Linked DNA regions of Stegostoma tigrinum. The protein of the gene in region 1 purifies or fractionates together with the protein of each later gene. This does not show direct contact. Links are inferred from orthologs where the notes say so. Each region holds a gene or a part of one and is shown in the gene's direction. Other genes may lie near its edges.

The links.
Region 2: the proteins of lin7c (region 1) and rho guanine nucleotide exchange factor 26-like purify together in Homo sapiens (affinity purification with mass spectrometry; 3 studies listed by BioGRID and IntAct, counting the BioPlex papers as one, with this or other methods). This does not show direct contact. The link is inferred for Stegostoma tigrinum from reciprocal best matches to the Homo sapiens genes LIN7C and ARHGEF26.
Region 3: the proteins of lin7c (region 1) and disks large homolog 1-like purify together in Homo sapiens (affinity purification with mass spectrometry; 4 studies listed by BioGRID and IntAct, counting the BioPlex papers as one, with this or other methods). This does not show direct contact. The link is inferred for Stegostoma tigrinum from reciprocal best matches to the Homo sapiens genes LIN7C and DLG1.

The regions. Positions count from the first base shown.
Region 1 is NC_081370.1:53,126,903-53,134,483, reverse strand, and holds the start of lin7c (protein lin-7 homolog C), read left to right. Parts: upstream 1-4,575; 5' UTR 4,576-4,653; coding exon 4,654-4,690; intron 4,691-7,581. UniProt on the Homo sapiens protein: Plays a role in establishing and maintaining the asymmetric distribution of channels and receptors at the plasma membrane of polarized cells.
Region 2 is NC_081367.1:63,309,746-63,317,247, reverse strand, and holds the start of rho guanine nucleotide exchange factor 26-like, read left to right. Parts: upstream 1-4,440; 5' UTR 4,441-4,880; intron 4,881-7,502. UniProt on the Homo sapiens protein: Activates RhoG GTPase by promoting the exchange of GDP by GTP. Required for the formation of membrane ruffles during macropinocytosis. Required for the formation of cup-like structures during trans-endothelial migration of leukocytes.
Region 3 is NC_081367.1:52,820,485-52,828,335, reverse strand, and holds the start of disks large homolog 1-like, read left to right. Parts: upstream 1-4,846; 5' UTR 4,847-5,853; coding exon 5,854-5,872; intron 5,873-6,120; coding exon 6,121-6,252; intron 6,253-7,851. UniProt on the Homo sapiens protein: Essential multidomain scaffolding protein required for normal development. Recruits channels, receptors and signaling molecules to discrete plasma membrane domains in polarized cells.

The DNA.
Region 1 (7,581 bases):
AAGCAATGGGCAATCACTTTCAGAGTATCATCTTTATGATATCCTGTTCACATAGACACCCCAAGATGGCGGCATCAGCACATTGGGCAGTGTTCAGGCTCCTGAGCCAATCCGCTTTAGGCCGGCTACATCCTCCTCTTTCTCTTCTTTCTTATCCTTTCCTTTCTCTTTATTTTCTTTTCTTCACCTTCAGATGTCTGGGGGAAGCCGGAACAGTACTCAGCGGGTCATTGGCTGTGGCGGTGGAGGTGCTTGGTGCAAGGACTTTTGGCTGCAGTGGGCCCAGACTATGGACTCGTGAACTCAGCGGGCCATCGTCTGCAATGGTGGTGGTGCCCCAGTGCGGGGTCTCTTGGTGGCAGCAGGTCGCTATGGCAGAAACAGTACCCGGAATGGGGACTCCTGGCTGTGGTAGGCCTGCAGTACAGGGACTCCTTGAGGCCTGGGACACCTTGCAGAAGCTCTGAAGTTGTGTCTGGCGACACTTTGTACAGAAGATGTGCTCTCTTTATGTAATTTATCTTTATTCTTTTCGTAACTCAAAATGCTGCCGGATTGTAGCAACAAAACACTTCTCACTTTTTCTTTCTAGATATATGTGACAATAAATAACTAATTTATTTTATTTCCCCTACCTCCAGTTTATATGCCTACTTTCTTAGATTTGCCTAATCTCTAAAGATTTCAAATAATCCATTGTTTCATCTTCTATTCCCAAAGAAATTGTTGCAACTTTCAAAGCTATTTAAAAATTCTGCTCATTTATAATATGCTTCATGACAACTCTTCTGTTTCTATGCTCAGTGCCTCCGTGGTCTAATTTTTAAAGATTCACATAAAGCACTTAAATTTCAATATATCTGCTACTACAAGTAGCCACCACTATTTTATGGTTCCAGCTGATGGTAATATTAGACAAATCAGATCCCAGAGTTAGACCTGGCTTCATAGACCATAAGTTTGATTTTTCTTTCTCTCAAAAATCAGAAAGAAAGATTCATCCATTTTACTTCAGCAATACCCTTACAGGGACTCAAATCTCAGTGTAAGGTAACCCCAATTTTCATTCTAATGCTTCTTGCTCACTTGGAATGGCTTATAATCATTTTCTGTTTTTACAAGTTGCTGCATTTTCATTAAATGTCGTTTTCTTCAGATATATCTTTTCCAAAGACCTTTGAAACAAGCTGCTAACTCAGCTCACAATTAGTATTTACCATGGATTCCCTGATCTTTACATTCACAGCTTTTTGCATCTGGAGCTGTCTTCTTACCAACCTTTAAGAATCTTGAGACTTCTCCAAAGCCCTGGCTGCTTAGAAATTCATCAGAAAAGCACCTTTGCTGCTATAGATCTCTTCTGTCTGTATGCACCTGCTCTGACACCTTGTGTATTTGTCTCTGCATCTTAAAAAACAAGTCAACAAATTGTTATGATCGGAGCTGATGTTATTACTGGAGAAGTCAGATCCCAGATTGAAATCTGGCTTTATAGATCATATTTTAAGACCATAAGAAATAGGAACAGGAGCTGTTGAGGTTGCTCCATCATTCAGTAAGATCACGGCCAATCCAACATTCCTCACATCTGCTTTCCTACATTTTCCCCGTAACCCTTGATTCCCTGACTGCTCAAAAATCTATCTGTCTGAGCCTTAAATACACATAATGATTCTGCCCAGATAGCTCTCTGTGGCAAGGAGTTCCAGAGAAACACAGCCGCCTCAGAGAACACAAGTGCACAATGTTTAATATTTAGTTTAACAATAAAATAGAAGTTTATTGTGTAAAATAAAATAAAATAAAACAAAATAAGTCAAACTATTTATATATAACACCATTTTTAAAATTTTGAAACACACAGTAAAATACAATATTCCATCTATCTTAACACACTCCTTTCTGCAAAATGAGCACATGGAGAAAACGGCTGACAAAGTGTCTCTTTTTCAGCAATATCTAAGTCCCGTACTGTCAAACACCAGCTAATAACTTATTTTTGATGAATCTTCATAAAATTAGCCTTATTTCTTCTTGTCTGTACCAGACTATATCCCTTGTAAATTTTATTCCTGTGCTTGTGTGTGTGTTTATTTAATATCATATTTTCACTTTATTTCCTCAGGGTTAGTCGATAATAAAATCCTTTTCTTTAATTCAAGAAATTGTTGATAATTGGGTCTGTAATTGTATTACAAATTATGTAATAATAAATAGCTTTGTAATAAAAGCAGAATAAAAATATTTGTTGTGACTGACAGGGTTAAAAAGAGAGGACTTGAATGAGCCCATCTGATGACAGGCGGCTGATCGATATGGCTTTGTGCTCTTGTGAAATCGACAGCACAAATCATGAATTCCTTGTGAATGACATAGTGAGAAGCTACTTGTTAAAAATGTGGAGTTTTACTAACATTGCTACTATTCATTTTGACCATGGAATGATGGAACTCTCATATCCAGTTTCCAAATAGTTTTTGGCCTGTTTCTGAGCATTCACCTTCCATAATTCAATGGTTGTAACATAATTGGGGCAGCATGGGACTCAGTGGTTAGCACTGCTGCCTTACAGTGCCAGGAACCCAGGTTCAATTCCATCCTCTGGACATCTGTGCAATGCCACAGAAGTTCCAAGCCTGTTTCTGACCTAATTCCATAAGGAAAAACCACCCTGGACAATCAAAGAAAACATTATATTTTAAACAAAAACAGAAATTGCGAGAGAAACTTGTTTTTTTTAGTTATTTGTTTTGTTTACTATGATTTTAAAGCCAGGCTTTTTCTCCGCTCACTCTCGCACCACTGTAACACCATAAGACCATAAGACATAGGAGTGGAAGTAAGGCCATTCGGCCCATCGTGCCCACTCTCCCATTTAAATCATGGCTAATGGGCATTTCAACTCCACTTCCCCGCACTCTCCCCGTAGCCCTTGATTCCTTGTGAGATCAAGAATTTATTGATCTCTGCCTTGAAGAAGTCTAACGTCCCGGCCTCCACTGCACTCCGTGGCAATGAATTCCACAAGCCCACCACTCTCTGGCTGAAGAAATGTCTCCTCATTTCCATTTTAAATTTACCCCCTCTAATTCTAAGGCTGTGCCCATGGGTCCTAGTCTCCCCACCTAACGGAAACAACTTCCCAGTGTCCACCCCTTCTAAGCCATACATTATCTTTTAAGTTTCGACTAGATCTCCCCTTGACCTTCTTAACTCTAATGAATACAATCCCAGGATCCTTAGCCATTCATCATACATTAAGCCTACCATTCCAGGAATCATCCGTGTGAATCTCCGCTGGACACACTCCAGGGCTAGTATGTCCTTCCTGACGTGTGGGGCCCAAAATTGGACACAGCATTCTAAATGGGGCCTAACTAGAGCTTTATAAAGTTTCACTAGAGTTGCCACCAATATGTTTTGGTAAAAACCTAGACAGTGCCTTCAAGATAAACTTAGAAAAACATACAGTGCTTTAAAAAAAATCCCAAAAGAACTGCGGATGCCTTAAATTAGGAACAAAAACAAAGTTTGTGGAAAAGCTCAGCAGGTCTGGCAGCATGTGTGGAGGAGAAGACAGAGTTAACGTTTCCGGTCTGGTGACCCGAAGGGTTCTGAGGAAAGGTCACCGGACCTGAAACATGAACTCTGTTTTCTCCTCCACACATGCTGCCAGACCTACTGAGCTTTTCCAGCAACTTTGCTTTCGTTGCTGTGTATAGACCATTTTAATCTCAGCAATCCCTAGATATTTACATGATTATATTACCTAACTTGTCCTTGACATTGTGAAACAATACAAGTTGTTTTTCAGGACAATGTCATATGAGCAACTAAAACATACCACCACCCTTTTACAGCTATACTTTTACGTCGTGAAAAAACCTACACAAATGCAACACAACGATGACTCAATTTCCAAACCAAAATGGCGATATCTACCCATGCACACGCATGGACTGGGTCTGGTGCCAAATCCAATGATAAAATCATTCTATGCAGTTTTGGCATGATCACTGTGAGATGGAAGCAGATTTGGTTAATGGCAATAATACAGAAAAATTACAAAATCTAACATTTAAAGGCATAGATTTGCTCCAAATTTAACAAATAAACGTACAGGTAACAGAACAAAAACTGAAGTTGCTGGAAAATCTCAACTGGTCTGGTAGCATCTGTGCAGAATTCAGAGTTAACACTTAGGTCTAGTGAGCCTTCTTCAGAAGAAGGAGTTCTGAAGGGTCACAGGAGCCTAATCATTAATTCTGCTTTCTCTGCACAAAGGTGCTGAGATTACCCAGCAATTTATGTTTTTGTTTCCAGTATCTGCAGTTCTTTCGATTTATTTTTTATATATGCAACAGAGGCTTGTGAAAAAACAATCCTAGAGTTTAAACGGGAAACCGTAGAAACATAGATAGGACCCAAAAGAAAAGCTATATGTGGAAAAACACAGCAGTTGCAATCCGGGTGGCTCACTTGGTACGAAATGTGACCGAAGGTTGAGTTCAGGGCTCTGAGTGGGTTCAATGCGTCCTCCCAGCCTGCCGGTGGCGCTGTCGTTACCGGAGCGTAGCGACGAATAAAACGTTTGTGGCTCGTCTGGAGACGTCACTTCCGGAGTGTCCGTTTATTCTGTCGTTTTGTTGTGGAATGGCGTTGGTGATGGAGCCCATCAGACTGGACAGAGGTAGGCCTCCGCCCTCACTGTCCTTTCGCCAAGCTGCCATCTCGGGGTGGGGGAGAGTTCCGGTCACTGCGAAGGCATAAATCAAATTGAGTCGAACGAGCTATAAGGTGCCTGAGCCAGGCTGCTGGTACAAAGGTGGACCTTCTGGCTCCTGGGTTACCTAGACCCTTGGTTACGCCTCAGGAGTGTTTCTCAGAAAGGCTTTTGCAGCTGGAAGCTGGCGAGACAGGTTTTTGGGGAAGCAAGCTCTTCCTTCCTCAGGGAACCAGCACTACCTCCTCTTTCCCTCCCCTCCCCCAAACCAAGGGGTAAATGACAAGTCAGGCTTTTACAATTTTCAAATCGAACTGAGAGACTGGAGATCTGAAACAAGTAAAACCAGCAACTGTTGGAGAAACCCAGTTCTGAGGAAGGGTCACTGGACCCGAGATGTTAAGTCTGATTTTTTTTTTCTTCACTCATGCTGCCAGACCTGCTGAGCTTTTCCAGCAGCGTTGTTGATGTTGTTGTTGGAGAAACTCTCTAGGTCCGGCAGCATCTGTAGATAGAGAAAACAGACAACTAGTTCTGAAAGAGGGTCATGGGTCTTGAAATGTTAACCCTGTTTTATACTCCACTGATGCTACCAGACCTGTGGAATCTCTCCAACAATTTCTGTTTTGTTTGTTTAAAAATTCCCATGATTGTTTTCAAATCCCTCCATGCCATTCCCCCTCTGTGAACACCTCCACTTGCTTTTTTCTGCCCCCACCCTGAAAAAGTCTGAGATATTTGGACTCCGTAATTGTAGTCTCTTGTGCACACCTGATTGTAAATGGCTCAAGCGCCAGTGCCTTCAGATGCTAAGCTGCTAATTCCCTTCCTCAACCTCTCCATTCCCCATCCTTAAGGAAAAGGAACAAGTGTGACATCTTTGCTTAACAAATTCCTTAAAACCTTTTGCCTTTAACCAATGAACTTATGATTAACTCTCCTCATATCCTTTGGTTGCTCAATGTCAAATTTTATTTCATGCTGTTGTAAAGTATTTCAGGATGTGTTCAGATCTCAATGGTACTGCAGTTGTTGAATATCTGTTCAGAAAGGATTCTTGTCTAAAAAAAGTTCTTGCATTCAGGTTTTTTTAAAACTTCCACTGAGACAGACACTTAAGCTGTCTTTCTTAAAATTTGCAGCTTTGGTATTGCAACAGTCTGTCGGTGCACTGGACTTTATTTTAATGGAAAAAAGTAGTTTCTTTGGAGTAAAATTTAAGGTACAAAGTTGTAGCAGAAATATTGCTGATCATATCTGGTTTGTTTTTAGTGTAAAATTAGGAATGCATAGATCAGCAGGGAAGGAATTTTAAAACAGAATTGTAGATGCTGGAAATCTGAAACAAAAACAGTGCTGGAGAAACTCAGCAGGTTTGGCAGCACCTGTAGAGAGAAGGAAGGAAATTTGTTATCCTTACCTGGTCTGATCAAATCTCATACTGTACACACAGCAACATGGTTGACTCCTAACTGCCCTGTGAAATGGAAATTAATGATGGGCAATGCCCATATCCCATGAATAAATAATAAAAGTTGTATTTGTAAGTTAAATTTGGGGTGAACCTGTGTTTGTTCGACATGAAAGTTACAATAAAGTGGTTACTTTACACGGGGCAGAGGATGACTTTGCGGGCATGGCAACTTTCCGGAAGGAAACATTAATGTAATAGGGGAGAGTAGATTTTAAAATGTTCATTTTGTTCTGTAATTTTGTAAAGTTTGACTGAATTTGATGAACATCTTGGATTGTGAATCTGTAGAGTGGACGGGAACATCTATCAGACATACTGGCTTCAAGATGAGCTTTAAACTGACTGTCTAGAACCTTGAGACCCCATAATGTATTTCAGATGAGAGTTGGGAATTCTGTGTCCTGGGTAACGTTTGTCTGTAAATCAACATAATTAAGGCTGGCTATTTATGTTTCTATTCATGGCTCATTGCTATGCGCAAATTAGCAGATGTCTTTCTTATTTTGCTTCTCAAACTACTTAATTGGTTGTGAGGTGCCATGGGACAACAGGAGGATGTTAAAGCTGCTATATAAATCAAATTCTTTCTTTCTTTGATGCAGAAATACCATTTCATTATTTGAAATCAATTTGGCTGCAAGTGAGTGAGGAAGCAATGCCCCTGGTGTATTGTCTGTGCTAATTTAACCAAATGTAGGAAATGGGTGGACAGCTACTTCTAATTCCAAAAGGAGACTAATGGAATTAGGGTTAGCAAAAGAACTGGAAATAATCCCAATGGGGACAATAACCAGTTTGTTTCAGATTTTAAAATAAAGATTGCTAGAATAAAAAACTAAAAGTAGTGTCATAAAATTTGAAAGCACGCTTCATTTCCAAAATAATGTGTAGCAGTCACACTATTTTTCAGCGGCTTTGGAAGATGTGTACGTCATAACAACAACCAAGCACGGATACTGAAACACTGATTACTGTAGCAAATGGAGATTACTGTACTCTCGTTCATAAAGGTAGTTATCCACTGAATTGACAACAACAATAGTGTTGGTATTATTCTGGTAGTATTGACATGACCATACAATATAAAACTTGTGTATAAAGACATTTTCGACTGTCTGTCACCCAGACGTGTACTGTTTCACTACAATTGTTCATTGAAAAGTCAGACTTTTCTCATGAATCGCACATACACCCACAGAAAAAGCTTTTTTGCAGTAACCAAAATTCAGTTGCTTGAATCATTATTTTTGGACATGGTTAAAATGTAAATAATAATAAATTTATGTTAAACTCGAAATCAGAAGACACTCTCTTTAAACTTGTGGCTTTATTTTATGGTTGAATGGGCCGGTTAGCACAGTTGGATCGATGACTAGCATGTTCA
Region 2 (7,502 bases), on another chromosome or scaffold:
CAGAGGAGATGCATCGAAGGCTGCTGTGGGAAACAAGGGAGGATAATAAACAGGCTCTGAGATTAAATTTTAACCCTCTCTGTTCATTGGAGTGGAGTGGCTCGAGAACAGCTAATATGGTGCCCTTACTCAATGTGAGTGGTAGGGGTAAGCCAGGAATCCACAGATTTTAATACCTGTGGCAGGAGAAAATACTGGAAAAATTTCTGACAGACAGAATTAATCTGCACTTGGAGAGGCAAGGATTAGTCAAGGATAGTCAGCATGGCTTTGGGAAGTCATGTCTAACAGATGTAATTGTATTTTTCAAGGTGGAGACTAGGCAAGTAGATGAGGGTAGTGCAGTTGATGCAGTCTACACAGACTTCAATAAAGCTTTTGACAAGGTCTTGATTGGCAGATTAGTTAAGAAGCTAAGAGTCTTTTGGCGAATTGGATCCAAAATTGGCTTAGTGGCAGGAAGCAGATGGTAATAGGTGAAGGGCATTTTTGTGACTGGGAACTTGTGTCCAGGGGCATAGTGGGTTTGGAGCCGGGTCACCTGCTGTATGTTGTATGTATTAATGACTTAGACATGAATGTAGGAAGTATGATCAGTATGTTCACAGGTGATATGAAAATTGGCATTGTGAATAGGAGGAGGAAAGCCTTAAAGCCCAGGATGTTGTAAATGCCCGCTTAGATGGGCCAAACAATGGTAAATTGAATTTAATCCTGAAAAGTCAGAGGAAATGCATTTTGGCAGGATTAACAAAACAAGAGAGTACATGTCAAACAGGACCTATAGGACCCTTGGAATTACAAAGGATTGGAGGAACGGTAGTGCACATATTCACATATCCTTGAGTGCAACAGGACAGGTTGATAAAGTGATTAAAAAGTCATATTGGATGTTGGCTTTTTTAATTAAGGCATTGAATATAAGAGCAAGGAGTTTATGATGGAGTTGTATATGATATTATTTAGGTCAATAGCTAGAGTACTGTGTACAATTCTGATCACCATACAATAGGAAGAATGAGATTGTACTCGACAAGATGCAGAAAACATTCATAGGGATGTTTCCTGGGCTGGAGGGTTTTCGCTATGAAAAGAGACCAGCCTGGCTGGGGTTGTTTTCCTTCCAGTAGCTAAGGCTGAGGCAGAATCTGACTGAGGTGTACAAAGTTATGAAGTGCATTGATAGGGGAGAGAGGAAGAAACTTCCTTTAGAAGAAGGGTCAATAAACAATGGGGCACAATTTTTAAAGTTAGGAGCAAGAGTTTTAGAGGGGATTTAAGGATTTTTTTTTCATCCAGAGGATGGTGGGAATCTAGGACTCACTGCCTAAAAGGGTGGTAGAGGCCAAGTCCCTCAAGACATTATAGAAGCATTTACATTAACACTTGAAATGCCATAGCATATAAGGGTATGGTCCAAATGCTGGAAAATGGGGTTAGAATAGATGAATGTTTGATAACTGGTTTGGATATGATGGGCCAAAGTACCTTTTCCTTAGCGTGGTAACTCTAATGACTCAAAAGGAACAAACTTTCTGGTTAAAGTGGCAGGAAGGAAATTAAATATTCATGTTACTGTCTTAAGGAGCTGCCTTCAAATGTTATTTTGGAGCAACAGTCGGATTTCAACATGGAGAGGGCCTTAATATAGTGACTCAATAAAAATTTTAATATTGTATTCTTTCTAATTCTGAACTGTTTAACAATGGTTTCAAAATATTTCTCCACGTGATACAATATTCGAGGAATCATAAAGTAATGAGATGCAAGGAATGAAGTATGATGTGATAAATGCAATTCAACGAATTTCAAACAGTCTCTTACTCACCTGACAACACAGTGTGGAGCTGGAGGAACAGAACAGGACAGGTGGCGTCAGAGGAGCAGGAAAGTTAATGTTTTGGGTTGGGACCCTTCTTCAGAGTCTTGTTCCTCTGATGCTGCCTGACCTGCTGTGTTCCTCCAGCTCCACACTGTGTTGTCTCTCACTCCAGCATTGGCAGTTCTTGCTATCTCTTATTCACCTGATGTACATTCGGAGGGACTTCCTCCTCTGTATCCTTTTGAATTTATTTAAGCTTTAGCTTGTTGTTGTTGATCAGAGATAGAAACTAATGGGAGAGAATTCTATTAAAGGAGAGATGTTAGCAGAAGGGCAATGTCACTGAGGTAGCACTTAGAACAAGCCAGTTTATTACCCTTAAACTGTGGGTTCATGCACATCCCTAACAGTTGATAGCTTGGGGAGACAGTGGTAAAATCACCAGGCTAGTAATCGAAACAATTTCAAATGCCATCATAGCAGCTGATGGAACTTTAATTCAATCAATACATCTGGAATTGAAAGCTAGTTTCAGTTACGGTGACGGTGGAACTAATATCAATTGTCATTAGAAACTCATCTGATACATTAATGTCCTTTAGGTAAAAGGACACCGGGGTGGCACAGTGGCTCAGTGGTTAGCACTGCAGCCTCACAGCACCAGGGGCCCAGGTTCAATTCAAGCCTCGGGCAACTGTCTGTGTGGAGTTTGCACATTCTCCCTGTGTCTGCGTGGGTTTCTTCCCACAGTCCAAAGATGTGTAGGCTAGGTGGATTGGCCATGCTAAAACTGCCCATAGTATTCATGAGTGTGTGGGTTATAGGGAGATGGGTCTGGGTGGCTTGCTTCAAGGGCTGGTGTGGACTTGTTGGGCCAAAGGGCCTGTTTCCACACTGTAGGGAATGGAATCTAATCTAATCTAAAGAAGTCTGCTGTCCTTAACTGGCCTACATGGATTGCAGACTCTTCTAAGAGCAGCAGCACTGCAAAAATTTGTGATTTCAATAAACCTGTTGGACTATAACCTGGTGTTGTGTGACTTTTGACCTACTATAATTGAGCGGAGATTGATAAATTCTTGATCTCACAAGAAATTAGGGATTATGGGGAGAGTGCAGGGAAGTGGAGTTGAAATGCCCATCAGCCATGATTAAATGGCAGAGTGGGTTCGATGGGCCAAATGGCCTTACTTTCACTCCTATGTCTTCTGGTCTTATAATTGCAATACTTGGAAGTTTTACATGGTCACCATTCACTGGATGTAAGGTGTGGGGGGCCCTCCTCCTGCAAAGCAAATCTTTTTGAAATGATTTCAGCTTTAATCTGTTTGGTCAAGATCAGAAATGTTCATCTAAACAAACCATTGAGAAGAGATTGCTTTGAAGGAGAGATCACAGCGTGAGTAGGAAAGATCCAGGGAATGGGATTAATTCTGTTATTCTTCAGGAATGGCACAGGTTCAATGCACTAATTACCTACCCTGTATGGCTCATGAAACTATGAGAGGATTGAGAGGAGAATTGGTAGAAGTACTGAAGATAATATGGAGTCCAGACAGATAAGGAGGTTGTTATCCCATAGATTAATAAGTTTAGGAAGCAGAGGACACAGACTTTAGGTAATTGTCAAAGGGAGCAATGGCGGCATGAGGCAAACCTTTTTCACACAGCAAGTGGCTATAATCTAAAGTGGAGACAGGTTGACCTGCAGCCTTCAGGAGCAAGTGGGATCACCGTCAGAGAATGAAGAATGTACAGAGTTACAGAGAGAAGGCGGGATCGTGATACTGGTCAATTGGCCAATCAGAAAGCCAGCACCAATTTGAGTGGTTGAATAGCCTCTTCCTGCGTTGTCGCCATTCCAATCATACTATATAGGGATGCAGCAGAATGACTTCGAAAATGTAGAGCAGTGGGTTTGCAGTCAAATCTAACTCTAAGGCAAGTCTGTACACAGAGGGCTCTTGTAGCACAGGGGTAGTGTTTCCCCCTTCCAGAATGGGAGGCCTGGTTTCAAGTCCGACCTGCTCCACCAGCGTGTTTTAATATTGCTGAACAGGTGGAGATTTTATTTTAAAATAACCAGAGAGGAAATAATGACAGATCTTCAAAGTAAGAAGTGATTGTCTGGCAGCAATAAACAAGCTGAGCTGAGATAACAAAGTGTGAAGCTGGAAGAACACAGCAGGCCATTATATTCATCAGAGAGGGTCTAGGCCCGAAACGTCAGCTTTTGTGCTCCTGAGATGCTGCTTGTCCTGCTGTTTTCATCCAGCTTCACACTTTGTTATCTTGGATTCTCCAGCATCTGCAGTTCCCATTATCTCTGATCTCTGAGCTGGATGGGTCTAGTGACACAGCGGTAAGTGTCCATACCTCTGGACTAGAATGTTTAAAGTCAAGTCCGATCTGCCCCAGATTGTATCATAACCTGCCTGAACTTTTTTAAAAAAAAGTTAAGTCGAATTGGTGCGCGCTATGGAGAACCAGGAATAGATGAACCTATTCGGAAAGAATCCACCAGAAGGCGCTACTTCAAGGACAATTTCAGGGCTTTCCATTTCAGGAGGTGGGGGGAGAATTCTCGAAGTTCAACAGTTTGAAAAATAAAGTTGGAAAAGATAAAGGATTTCAAGAGATTATTGGCATTGTGTTGGGAGCTGAAGGTGGAATCAGAATTGACACTGCGTCACTTTGAACTTGGACCAACACTGAATTTCTCTCTCTCTCACACACACACATACACACATTCTCTCTCTCACACATTCTCTCTCTCTCTCTCTCCCTCTCCCACACTCACTCTGTCCTAGCGACACGCCAACATCGCAACTTTAACCCGCACAAGAGCAGCGAAGCTCATTTCATAACTGAGACTGAGGTTGGAGTTATTGCAAAACGGACAGGAGCTTTTTTTTGGGAGGGTAGATGCAGCAGGAGGACGAGGGGGAACTATAAGTGGGACTAAAATCCTGTGCTCCCAGCAGTTTATACAATGGGAAGCTGGCTCAAGGACTGCGGGACAGTACACGCCTCTGCAACAGCGGGAAAGTAGAGCGGGGTAAGTCACTTTCACAACGCTGCTGGGAACGGAGGGAAAACGGAGATTCTTACACTTTTTTTTCTGCCCCAGGAAGGAAGCTGGTCGCTTATTTCTTTATACATCTTCCTCTTTACACCTGGAGATTCACCGTTCATTTTTCAGACGGCAGGTTGCATGTAGCAGTTTACAGAGTTTCTCTCGCGCTGTCGAAATCGTTCAGTTTTCTCTAAAATGGTTTAGTTTTGCACTTGTCCAACTATAGATCATTTTAAATTGGATACCGCGACCTGGTTTTCTGCCGAGTCAGTATTCTCAAATTTCCTAATACTTTGTCCGAATATTTATTGTAGAGACTACCAGGGGAGATTTTGTTCCGTTGTTTTTCCTTCGGCAGATTAGCAAATTTTTGTTCTTTTTTCTTAGAATAAAACATCTTATCTGGAACATTGAAGGGATGATTCTAATTAAGCTAACGGCAGAACAAATGTAGCCTTTTTCTCGTAAATGTCTAAGTCTGGAGGCTGTGATCCAGTTCGTAATGGGATATGGATTGCAGTAATTGTGTAGATTATCCACGTTAATTTTCTGTCTGCATTTCAAGGTTTCGCCAGAGTACAGTAAACAGCTATTTAAAAAAAAACAGAATGTCCTCTTCTGTGTAAGTTAGATAGAATTGTTTGATCAAAAAGTCGGCTTAATTCTGTAACTTTGCTTATGTTATAAACCCTTTATTGTAAGCAGTTATGAAAGTAAGCTTTTATTGATTATTGAACAAGTCATTTGTTCTGTCTGCAAGGATGTTACGTTCAGAAATCATAGAACCCCTATCGTGTAGAAGCAGGCCATTCAGCCCATCAGGTCCACTCTGGTCCAAAGCGCATCCCACCCCATTCTACAATCCTGCATTTCCCATGGCCAGTCAGCCCAACCTGCATGTCTTTGGATTGTGGGAGGAAACCGGAGAACCCAGAGGAAACCCACGCAGACACAGGGAGAATGTGTAAACTCCCCACAAACTGGAAGCAAACCTGGGTCCCTGATGCTGTGAGATAGTGGTGCTAACTGCTGAGCTACTACAAAGAAGTGTTTAAGTTTTGGGCGTGGTTGACTTTAATTGCCTCTGTCGTAGTTTCTCAAAACTTGCCAAAGTTTCAGGAGCTGGGTCCACGATCACCTTTTTGGGCACAATCAGACTTGCCCATGGTACTCGCATTCCAGGAACATGTTTTGATATAAACAGATAGATAGTTGATGTGTAAACTTTCTGCACTGGAAATTTTGAAACTGGGCTTTCTTTGATAGTCAGAGATCGTAAGAACTGCAGATACTGGAGTCAGAGATAACACAGTGTACAGCTGGAGGAACACAGCAGGCCAGGCAGCATCAGAGCAGGAGGAAAGTTGACATTTCAATCCTGAAGAAGGTCCTGACCTGCAACATCAACTTTCTTTGATAGTCGCTTGATGGATGGGTCAGCCTTTGCTGATTGGGTAACACTCTCCATTTGTGGTGAAGTGGTTTTGTGAGAGTTTAGATTGTGTACATAAGTGGCTGGGACTTCAAAATGCCGTCTTGAGAGATTTTGCAGATAAAGCTTTACATCAGACTCATGATGATAAGGTAGATACAATGAATGGTATTGTCTCGTTATTCAAGAAGGATGAAACTGGAAAGGTTTTTCTAAATGTTTCATGAGACATGGGTGTGACTGGCATGGCCAAAATGCTGCCCATCCCTATTTACCACTTAGCTGAGTACTTTACCAGGCTGTATCAGATATCATTGAAAAGTGAGTCATAGAATCAAAACAGGCTATTTGGCCCAACAAGCCCACACCAACTCTCTAAACACCAGACTCACCTCCCTACCCTATCGCTTGTAACTTTGCATTTCCCATGACCAATCCACCTAAGCTGCACATATTTGGACTGCAGGAGGGAACCAGAGCAAAACCATGCAGATATAGGTAAAATGTGCAAACTCCACACAGTCATCTGAGGCTGGAATTGAACGCAGGTTTCTGGTGCTGTGAGGCAGCAGTGCTAACCACAGAGCCACTGTACTGCCCATTGCTTTGGGCCAGACCAGGTAAAGATAGCAGAATTCCTTTATAATAACTTGAAGTTTTTATGGCCATGATTATTGTAACTAGTTTCAACATCCAGATTTATTAATTGAATCTAAATCCTACCATTCACCAGAGTAAGATCTGGTTCAATGCTGACATCCTCTTGCCTGCTTAATTGAAACAAAAAACTTCTATATCTGTTTAGTTCTTCATGCTTCTGACCCATAAACTGAAAAGAAAAGCAAATAGAGATCAAAACAACATACATTCATAGACATGATTTCAGATCCCTGCCCCTCCACTGTAGCTGGAGAATTTCAATTCACTTAATTAAATGAATGTGGTAGTAAGAGCCAGTGGGGGGGAAATGAAAGGGAGATTATCTGTGAAATATAAAATGATAGGAATACTGGGCAGGCAAGTCACTCTCTGTTGAGGTGAGTTCACTTAATCTTTCCTCTCCCTATCCCTTGTGGAATGCATTGCCGGAGAGGGTAGTGGAGTTGGCCTCATTAGGGGCATTTAAGCAGCTGTTAGATAGACACATGGATGATAGAATAAGGCAGGGGTGG
Region 3 (7,851 bases), on another chromosome or scaffold:
TTGTTACGTTTTGCCACTTAACCTGTTTATATTCCCCAACTGATTGATTGTATCATCCTCACTACTAGCTTATTTGTTGTGTAACTTACAAACTTGGTCCTAACAGATTCACTTATGTCAGCCAAGTTATTTATATATAGTGTTAAAAAATCAAGACTCCAGCAGTGATCCGTGTGGCATTCCATTAATTATGCCGTCCTGAAAATCATGATTCATTCGTAAGCATATAGGGGCAGTGACTCAGGCAGAAGCAGGGATGGATGCTGATTGAGCTGGAAGGAAGAATGAATAGTGATTGATTTGGAGGCAGTGAACAATAATGATTGATGTGGAGCCAAAATCTGAGGATGGTACTGTACCAGATTAGGAGGAAGGGAAAGAAATTGAGTGGGAACCAGTGAATAAGAAAGGGACAGTGATTGAGTTTTGAGGCAGGCTGTGTGAGGGAGGGTGTTGGAAAGGGCCAGTGAGTGAGTTTTCAGACAGGGTGAGAGGGTGGGACAGTGAGTGAGTTTTGGGGCAGGGTGTTGGGGAGGGACAACGAGTGAGTTTTGAGGCAGGGTGTTGGAGAGGATGGCGAGTGGGTTTTGGGGCAGGGTGCCGGGGAGTGACGGCGAGCGGGTTTTCGGGCAGTGCGCCGGGGAGGGACGGCGAGCGGGATTTGGGGCAGTGCGCCGGGGAGGGACGGCGAGCGGGATTTGGGGCAGGGCGCGGGGAAGGGACGGTGAGCGGGTTTACGGGCAGTGCGCCGGGGAGGGACGGCGAGCGGGATTTGGGGCAGGGCGCCGGGAAGGGACGGTGAGCGGGTTTTGGGGCAGGGTGCCGGGGAGGGACAACGAGTGAGTTTTGAGGCAGGGCGCCGGGGAGGGACGGCGAGTGGGTTTTGGGGCAGGGCGCTGGGGAGCGACAGCGAGTCGGTTTTGAGGCAGGGCGCCGGGGAGGGACGGCGAGTGGGTTTTGGGGCAGGGCGCTGGGGAGGGACGGCGAGTGGGTTTTGGGGCAGGGCGCCGGGGAGGGACGGCGAGTGGGTTTTGGGGCAGGGCGCCGGGGAGGGACGGCGAGTGGGTTTTGGGGCAGGGCGCTGGGGAGGGACGGCGAGTGGATTTTGGGGCAGGGCGCCGGGGAGGGACGGTGAGTCGGTTTTGGGGCAGGGCGCCGGGGAGGGACGGCGAGTGGGTTTTGGGGCAGGGCGCCGGGGAAGGACGGCGAGTGGGTTTTGGGGCAGGGCGCTGGGGAGGGACGGCGAGTGGATTTTGGGGCAGGGCGCCGGGGAGGGACGGCGAGTGGGTTTTGGGGCAGGGCGCTGGGGAGGGACGGCGAGTGGGTTTTGGGGCAGGGCGCTGGGGCAAGACGGTGAGCGGGTTTTGGGGCAGGGTGCCGGGGAGGGATGGCGAGCGGGTTTTGGGGCAGGGCGCCAGGGAAGGACGGTGAGTGGGTTTTGCGGCAGGGCGCCGGGGAGGGACGGCGAGTCGGTTTTGGGGCAGGGTGCCGGGGAGGGATGGCGAGCGGGTTTTGGGGCAGGGTGCCGGGGAGGGATGGCGAGCGGGTTTTGGGGCAGGGCGCCAGGGAAGGACGGCGAGTGGGTTTTGCGGCAGGGCGCCGGGGAGGGACGGCGAGTCGGTTTTGGGGCAGGGTGCCAGGGAAGGACGGCGAGTGGGTTTTGGGGCAGGGCGCCGGGGAAGGACGGCAAGTGGGTTTTGGGGCAGGGCGTCGGGGAGGGACGGCGAGCGGGTTTTGGGGCAGGGCGCCGGGGAGGGACGGTGAGCGGGTTTTGGGGCAGGGTGCCGGGGAGGGACGGCGAGTCGGTTTTGGGGCAGGGTGTTGGGGAGGGACAACGAGTGAGTTTTGAGGCAGGGTGTTGGAGAGGACGGCGAGTGGGTTTTGGGGCAGGGTGCCGGGGAGGGACGGCGAGCTGGTTTTGTGTCAGGGTGCCAGGGAGTGATGGCGAGCGGGTTTGGGGCAGGGCGCCGGGGAGGGACAGTGAGTGAGTTATGGGGCAGGGTGTTGGGAAGAGACGGTGAGTGAGTTACAGGGCAGGGTGTTGGGGAGGGACGGTGAGTGAGTTACAGGGCAGGGTGTTGGGGAGGGACGGTGAGTGAGTTACGGGGCAGGGTGTTGGGGAAGGATGGTGAGTGAGTTCTGGGGCAGTGTGTTGGGGAGGGACGGTGAGTGAGTTTTGGGGCAGGGTTTTGGGGAGGGACGCTGAGTGAGTTATGGGTCAGGGTGTTGGGGAGGGACGGTGAGTGAGTTTTGGGGCAGGGTTTTGGGGAGGGACAACGAGTGAATTTTGAGGCAGGGTGTTGGAGAGGACGGCGAGTGGGTTTTGGGGCAGGGCGCCGGGGAGGGACAGTGAGTGAGTTATGGGGCAGGGCGCCGGGGAGGGACGGTGACTGAGTTATGGGGCAGGGTGTTGGAAAGAGACGGTGAGTGAGTTACGGGGCATGATGTTGGGGAGGGACGGCGAGTGAGTTACAGGGCAGGGTGTTGGGGAGGGATGGTGAGTGAGTTCTGTGGCAGGGTGTTGGGGAGGGACGGTGAGTGAGTTATGGGGCAGGGTTTTGGGGAGGGACGGTGAGTGAGTTCTGGGGCAGGGTGTTGGGGAGGGACGGTGAGTGAGTTCTGGGGCAGGGTGTTGGGGAGGGACGGTGAGTGAGTTCTGGGGCAGGATATTGGGGAGGGACGGTGAGTGAGTTATGGGACAGGGTGTTGGGGAGGGACGGTGAGTGAGTTACGGGGCAGGGTGTTGGGGAGGGACGGTGAGTGAGTTACGGGGCAGGGTGTTGGGGAGGGACAGTGAGTGAGTTACGGGGCAGGATATTGGCGAGGGACGGTGAGTGAGTTACGGGACAGGGTGTTGGGGAGGGACGGTGAGTGAGTTACGGGGCAGGGTGTTGGGAAGAGACGGTGAGTGAGTTACGGGACAGGGTGTTGGGGAGGGACGGTGAGTGAGTTACGGGGCAGGGTGTTGGGGAGGGACGGTGAGTGAGTTACGGGGCAGGGTGTTGGGGAGGGACGGTGAGTGAGTTACGGGGCAGGGTGTTGGGGAGGGACGGTGAGTGAGTTACGGGGCAGGGTGTTGGGGAGGGACGGTGAGTGAGTTACGGGGCAGGGTGTTGGGGAGGGACGGTGAGTGAGTTACGGGACAGGGTGTTGGGGAGGGACGGTGAGTGAGTTACGGGGCAGGGTGTTGGGGAGGGACGGTGAGTGAGTTACGGGGCAGGGTGTTGGGGAGGGACGGTGAGTGAGTTCTGGGGCAGGGTGTTGGGGAGGGACGCTGAGTGAGTTACGGGACAGGGTGTTGGGGAGGGACGGTGAGTGAGTTACGGTGCAGGGTGTTGGGGAGGGGCGGTGAGTGAGTTACGGGGCAGGGTGTTGGGGAGGGGCGGTGAGTGAGTTACGGGGCAGGGTGTTGGGGAGGGACGGTGAGTGAGTTACGGGGCAGGGTGTTGGGGTGGGACGGTGAGTGAGTTACGGGGCAGGGTGTTGGGGAGGGACGGTGGGTGAGTTACGGGGCAGGGTGTTGGGGAGGGACGGTGAGTGAGTTACGGGGCAGGGTGTTGGGGAGGGATGGTGAGTGAGTTACGGGGCAGGGTGTTGGGGAAGGATGGTGAGTGAGTTCTGGGGCAGTGTGTTGGGGAGGGACGGTGAGTGAGTTTTGGGGCAGGGTTTTGGGGAGGGACGCTGAGTGAGTTATGGGTCAGGGTGTTGGGGAGGGACGGTGAGTGAGTTTTGGGGCAGGGTTTTGGGGAGGGACAACGAGTGAATTTTGAGGCAGGGTGTTGGAGAGGACGGCGAGTGGGTTTTGGGGCAGGGCGCCGGGGAGGGACAGTGAGTGAGTTATGGGGCAGGGCGCCGGGGAGGGACGGTGACTGAGTTATGGGGCAGGGTGTTGGAAAGAGACGGTGAGTGAGTTACGGGGCATGATGTTGGGGAGGGACGGCGAGTGAGTTACAGGGCAGGGTGTTGGGGAGGGATGGTGAGTGAGTTCTGTGGCAGGGTGTTGGGGAGGGACGGTGAGTGAGTTATGGGGCAGGGTTTTGGGGAGGGACGGTGAGTGAGTTCTGGGGCAGGGTGTTGGGGAGGGACGGTGAGTGAGTTCTGGGGCAGGGTGTTGGGGAGGGACGGTGAGTGAGTTACGGGGCAGGGTGTTGGGGAGGGACGGTGAGTGAGTTACGGGGCAGGGTGTTGGGGAGGGACGGTGAGTGAGTTATGGGGCAGGGTTTTGGGGAGGGACGGTGAGTGAGTTCTGGGGCAGGGTGTTGGGGAGGGACGGTGAGTGAGTTATGGGACAGGGTGTTGGGGAGGGACGGTGAGTGAGTTACGGGGCAGGGTGTTGGGGAGGGACAGTGAGTGAGTTACGGGGCAGGATGTTGGCGAGGGACGGTGAGTGAGTTACGGGACAGGGTGTTGGGGAGGGACGGTGAGTGAGTTACGGGGCAGGGTGTTGGGGAGGGACGGTGAGTGAGTTACGGGGCAGGGTGTTGGGGAGGGACGGTGAGTGAGTTACGGGGCAGGGTGTTGGGGAGGGACGGTGAGTGAGTTCTGGGGCAGGGTGTTGGGGAGGGACGGTGAGTGAGTTCTGGGGCAGGGTGTTGGGGAGGGACGGTGAGTGAGTTACGGGGCAGGGTGTTGGGGAGGGACGGTGAGTGAGTTACGGGGCAGGGTGTTGGGGAGGGACGGTGAGTGAGTTCTGGGGCAGGGTGTTGGGGAGGAACAGCACTGGAGTTTCAAATCTTGGGTGAGCTGCTCTGCAGCATCACCGCAGCCTTCCTTAAACCTGGGCCCCGCCCCCCGGTCGGCCTGCTCCCTCCTGATTGGCGGGCGGCCGGTCAGGTGGTGGAGATTCGCCGTCCCGGTCGCCATTTTGGGGGAAAGTTTGGGATTTTTCTGGCAGTGACTGGGAAGAGGAGTAGTAGCAGTTGTTCGCCGGGTGGGAGGGAAGCGGCGGCAGCGAAAGTTTGTTTTTGGTGGAATCCGGAAGAAGAGGAGTGGGAGAGTGTGTGCCGGTGCCGGTCCGGGGGCCCCACCTCTCGGGGCGGGGAAAGGAGGAGGAGGCGGTGGGTCACTGGCGGCGGTGAAGGACTACAACTCCACGGGGAGGCAAGAGAGCGCAAGCCCCGGAGCCTGTAACTCGCCTGACGGGGAGGCAGCCAGAGAGTCGGCCCCTCTTTCGGGCTGGCGGGGTGTGGGGCAAGGCCGCCGCTTGCTGCATCCCATACCGAGGAGAGAGGACACAACCCCCCGCCCCTCCAACTCTCTTTTCCAAGAATCAAAACAACCGACACCCAGCAAAGGGATCCACTGGACGACCCTGAGTGTTAGGGGCAGAGACCAGGACAGTCACTCTCAAGCTCAGCGGAGAGGATCCACTCTCCCCAGTTGGTCTCCTGCAGTCACCTTGAACAAGTAGGACAAGCGAGCAGTGACCGGGCAAGATAACCAGCAGAAACGTTCTGATCAGCGAATCGGTATTCCAGACTGGGCAAGAGGAGAGAGTCAGGATGTGGTCCTCCTGAGGCCAACACTTTACAAACCGGTCAGTCTACTTCAGGAAGGAAGGATTGACTGATATCGGAAAGAAACCAAAAGTGTCTCTCAAACAAGCCTAAGCCTGTTTTGAAAGGAAAAAAAAATTGATTGTCAGTGAAACTGATTGCACTAAATATTTACACATTTCCTTGAGTCGGAGCGAAAAGTTGGGATCCGGTGTTTCTGGCAGTTTATCGGGACCGTTTGAAAGCGCAGAAGAAAAGATCCTGTCTCCGGAGACTCTTAGACTCCGGAGGACAACTTGGAATTGAGGGAATTACCAACTGGGAGCTTTAACCTGTGAAGGAAATCTGAAACAGGAGGATGCCGGTTCGAAAGCAGGGTGAGTTTCAGCATATTAAATTTTGCAGAAACATTTTAATAAAAGTTTTTAAAGTCCGCTAACACTTTGTATTTAGCACCATTGCCACGAACTTTAAGACGAACCGATTTTAACGAAGGATATCTTTGTCATTTTCTATCAAGTGCTAAAAGCTGGGCAAAGATGTAGTAGCTCCAGGAGTTGTTACGGGATCGGTCCAGTAATGATCGTTAAATGTGTGATTATTTTTGCCCCTTGTCTCTGCTCAGATGCTCAGCGAGCTCTGAAGCTCCTGGAGAATTACCGTGCCAAGCTCGGCAAGACTGAAGACCGTCAGCTCCGTGCCTCCATCGAGCGAGTTATCAATATATTCCGCAGTAATCTCTTTCAAGCATTAATAGGTACGTACATAGACCGCTCGATATCTAGTCGTCTTCTTACTTTTTGAGGTTAACAGCAGCGTCGGCCGATGAGAGCTGTTAAAATACCAATGGGTTGTTCTGAACATAAGGACTTAAATATTCTGGACAGAGAAACAGGTTTGACGTTTTAACAACGCGGGAATGCCTTGGCTTTTCTATATCCGATTACGAAATCATTCTTTCTCCTTAAGCTGACAACCTGTTGCCTTGCGATTCTGTGAATCACGGAGAGGCGAGAAAGCGGGAATAGTCGAACAATGTAATTGCGAATATTTGACAGACGTTGTCGCGTCATTTTAAACCCCGCAACACTGAAATGAATGCCAGCGCCAGTGCAGCATTTCTAATGAACTCTGCTTATAGTGTTGAACGATCAGATTACAACTTGATGTCAGTGTACATGATGCGATTCGGGAGCAGTTGGGCGGTGAACAGGAAGCCTTATGGAGGAAGGGGCGTGATTTATGAATGTAAACAGTTTCGGCTGTGTGCGGCATCTGAGTTGGACACGTGTGGAGGTGGTACTGAGGAAAGTAGATACCGAATCGGTACGATATGACATTTTAAGGAAAACCGTATTGATAACTACGGATTTTTAAGTGGAAATAAGGATAGTGGGAGTTGCGTTAAAATTCTGGGTGTCAATTTAGATTTTGCAGAGTGGGAAATCCTTTTCTGATTTCAAAACTTATTGACATTTTAATCAGAAGTCCACACTCTTGTTAGAGAATAGTGCAGTTGATTAAAATCGTTTTGATGGGGAGGAAGTAAAGATAATATTGTAAAGAAAATGATCCCTCGACATCAGCTGTAACCTAATTTGCGTTGAACTTTAAAATACATAATTAAAATAATTGATATTTTATTCATGTGGGATGTGAGCATGCTGGCAAACATATTTATTGGTCAAGCCAACACTACTTAATGGTTATTAGTACTGATTTCAGTGATATGAGGCACCTTTTCACTGTTATAATTCTATTAACAAAATAAATGTAAAAGGTCCAGTGACCGTCAAAGGTTAATCTTTCAAGTGTTCAGTAGCATACCACTAATGCAAATAGCTCTGACAAACTAAGGTTGTGTTGTAGTATTGAATTGTCATTGTCAACAAGATGATACTGGTATGTAGTAGGTCTTATTGGTTATCAGAGGTTTCAAATGTACTGTGTATATGCGATCCCCATCCAAGTACAAATTTAACTACAAAGAGAGGCAAATGATTGAAGTATAATGATAGTTTAAGTTGTTCACACATAAACTGCCTGTCTGGATAGTAGGATCCTCTAGCGTACGGATTAGATCCATCGGGAAACCTACTGATCTGCTTGCCAGCAGCAAAGCAGTAGTGAATTTTTGAGAAGTTGTGCAGCTAGCGTTTTTTTCAATGATTTTTGTTTTGTCTAAATGGCAAACACATTGGGCTTTTCGTAAAATAAGAAATATTCCATATAACTGATGTCTAAAACATCTGTACTTTCTGTTGTTCCCCTTAATACCTCCCCATTAAATACCTTAAACCACTATCGTCAGCTGCTCAAGTTGGAACTAATGTCCGCACACGTTGTGCATCACTTT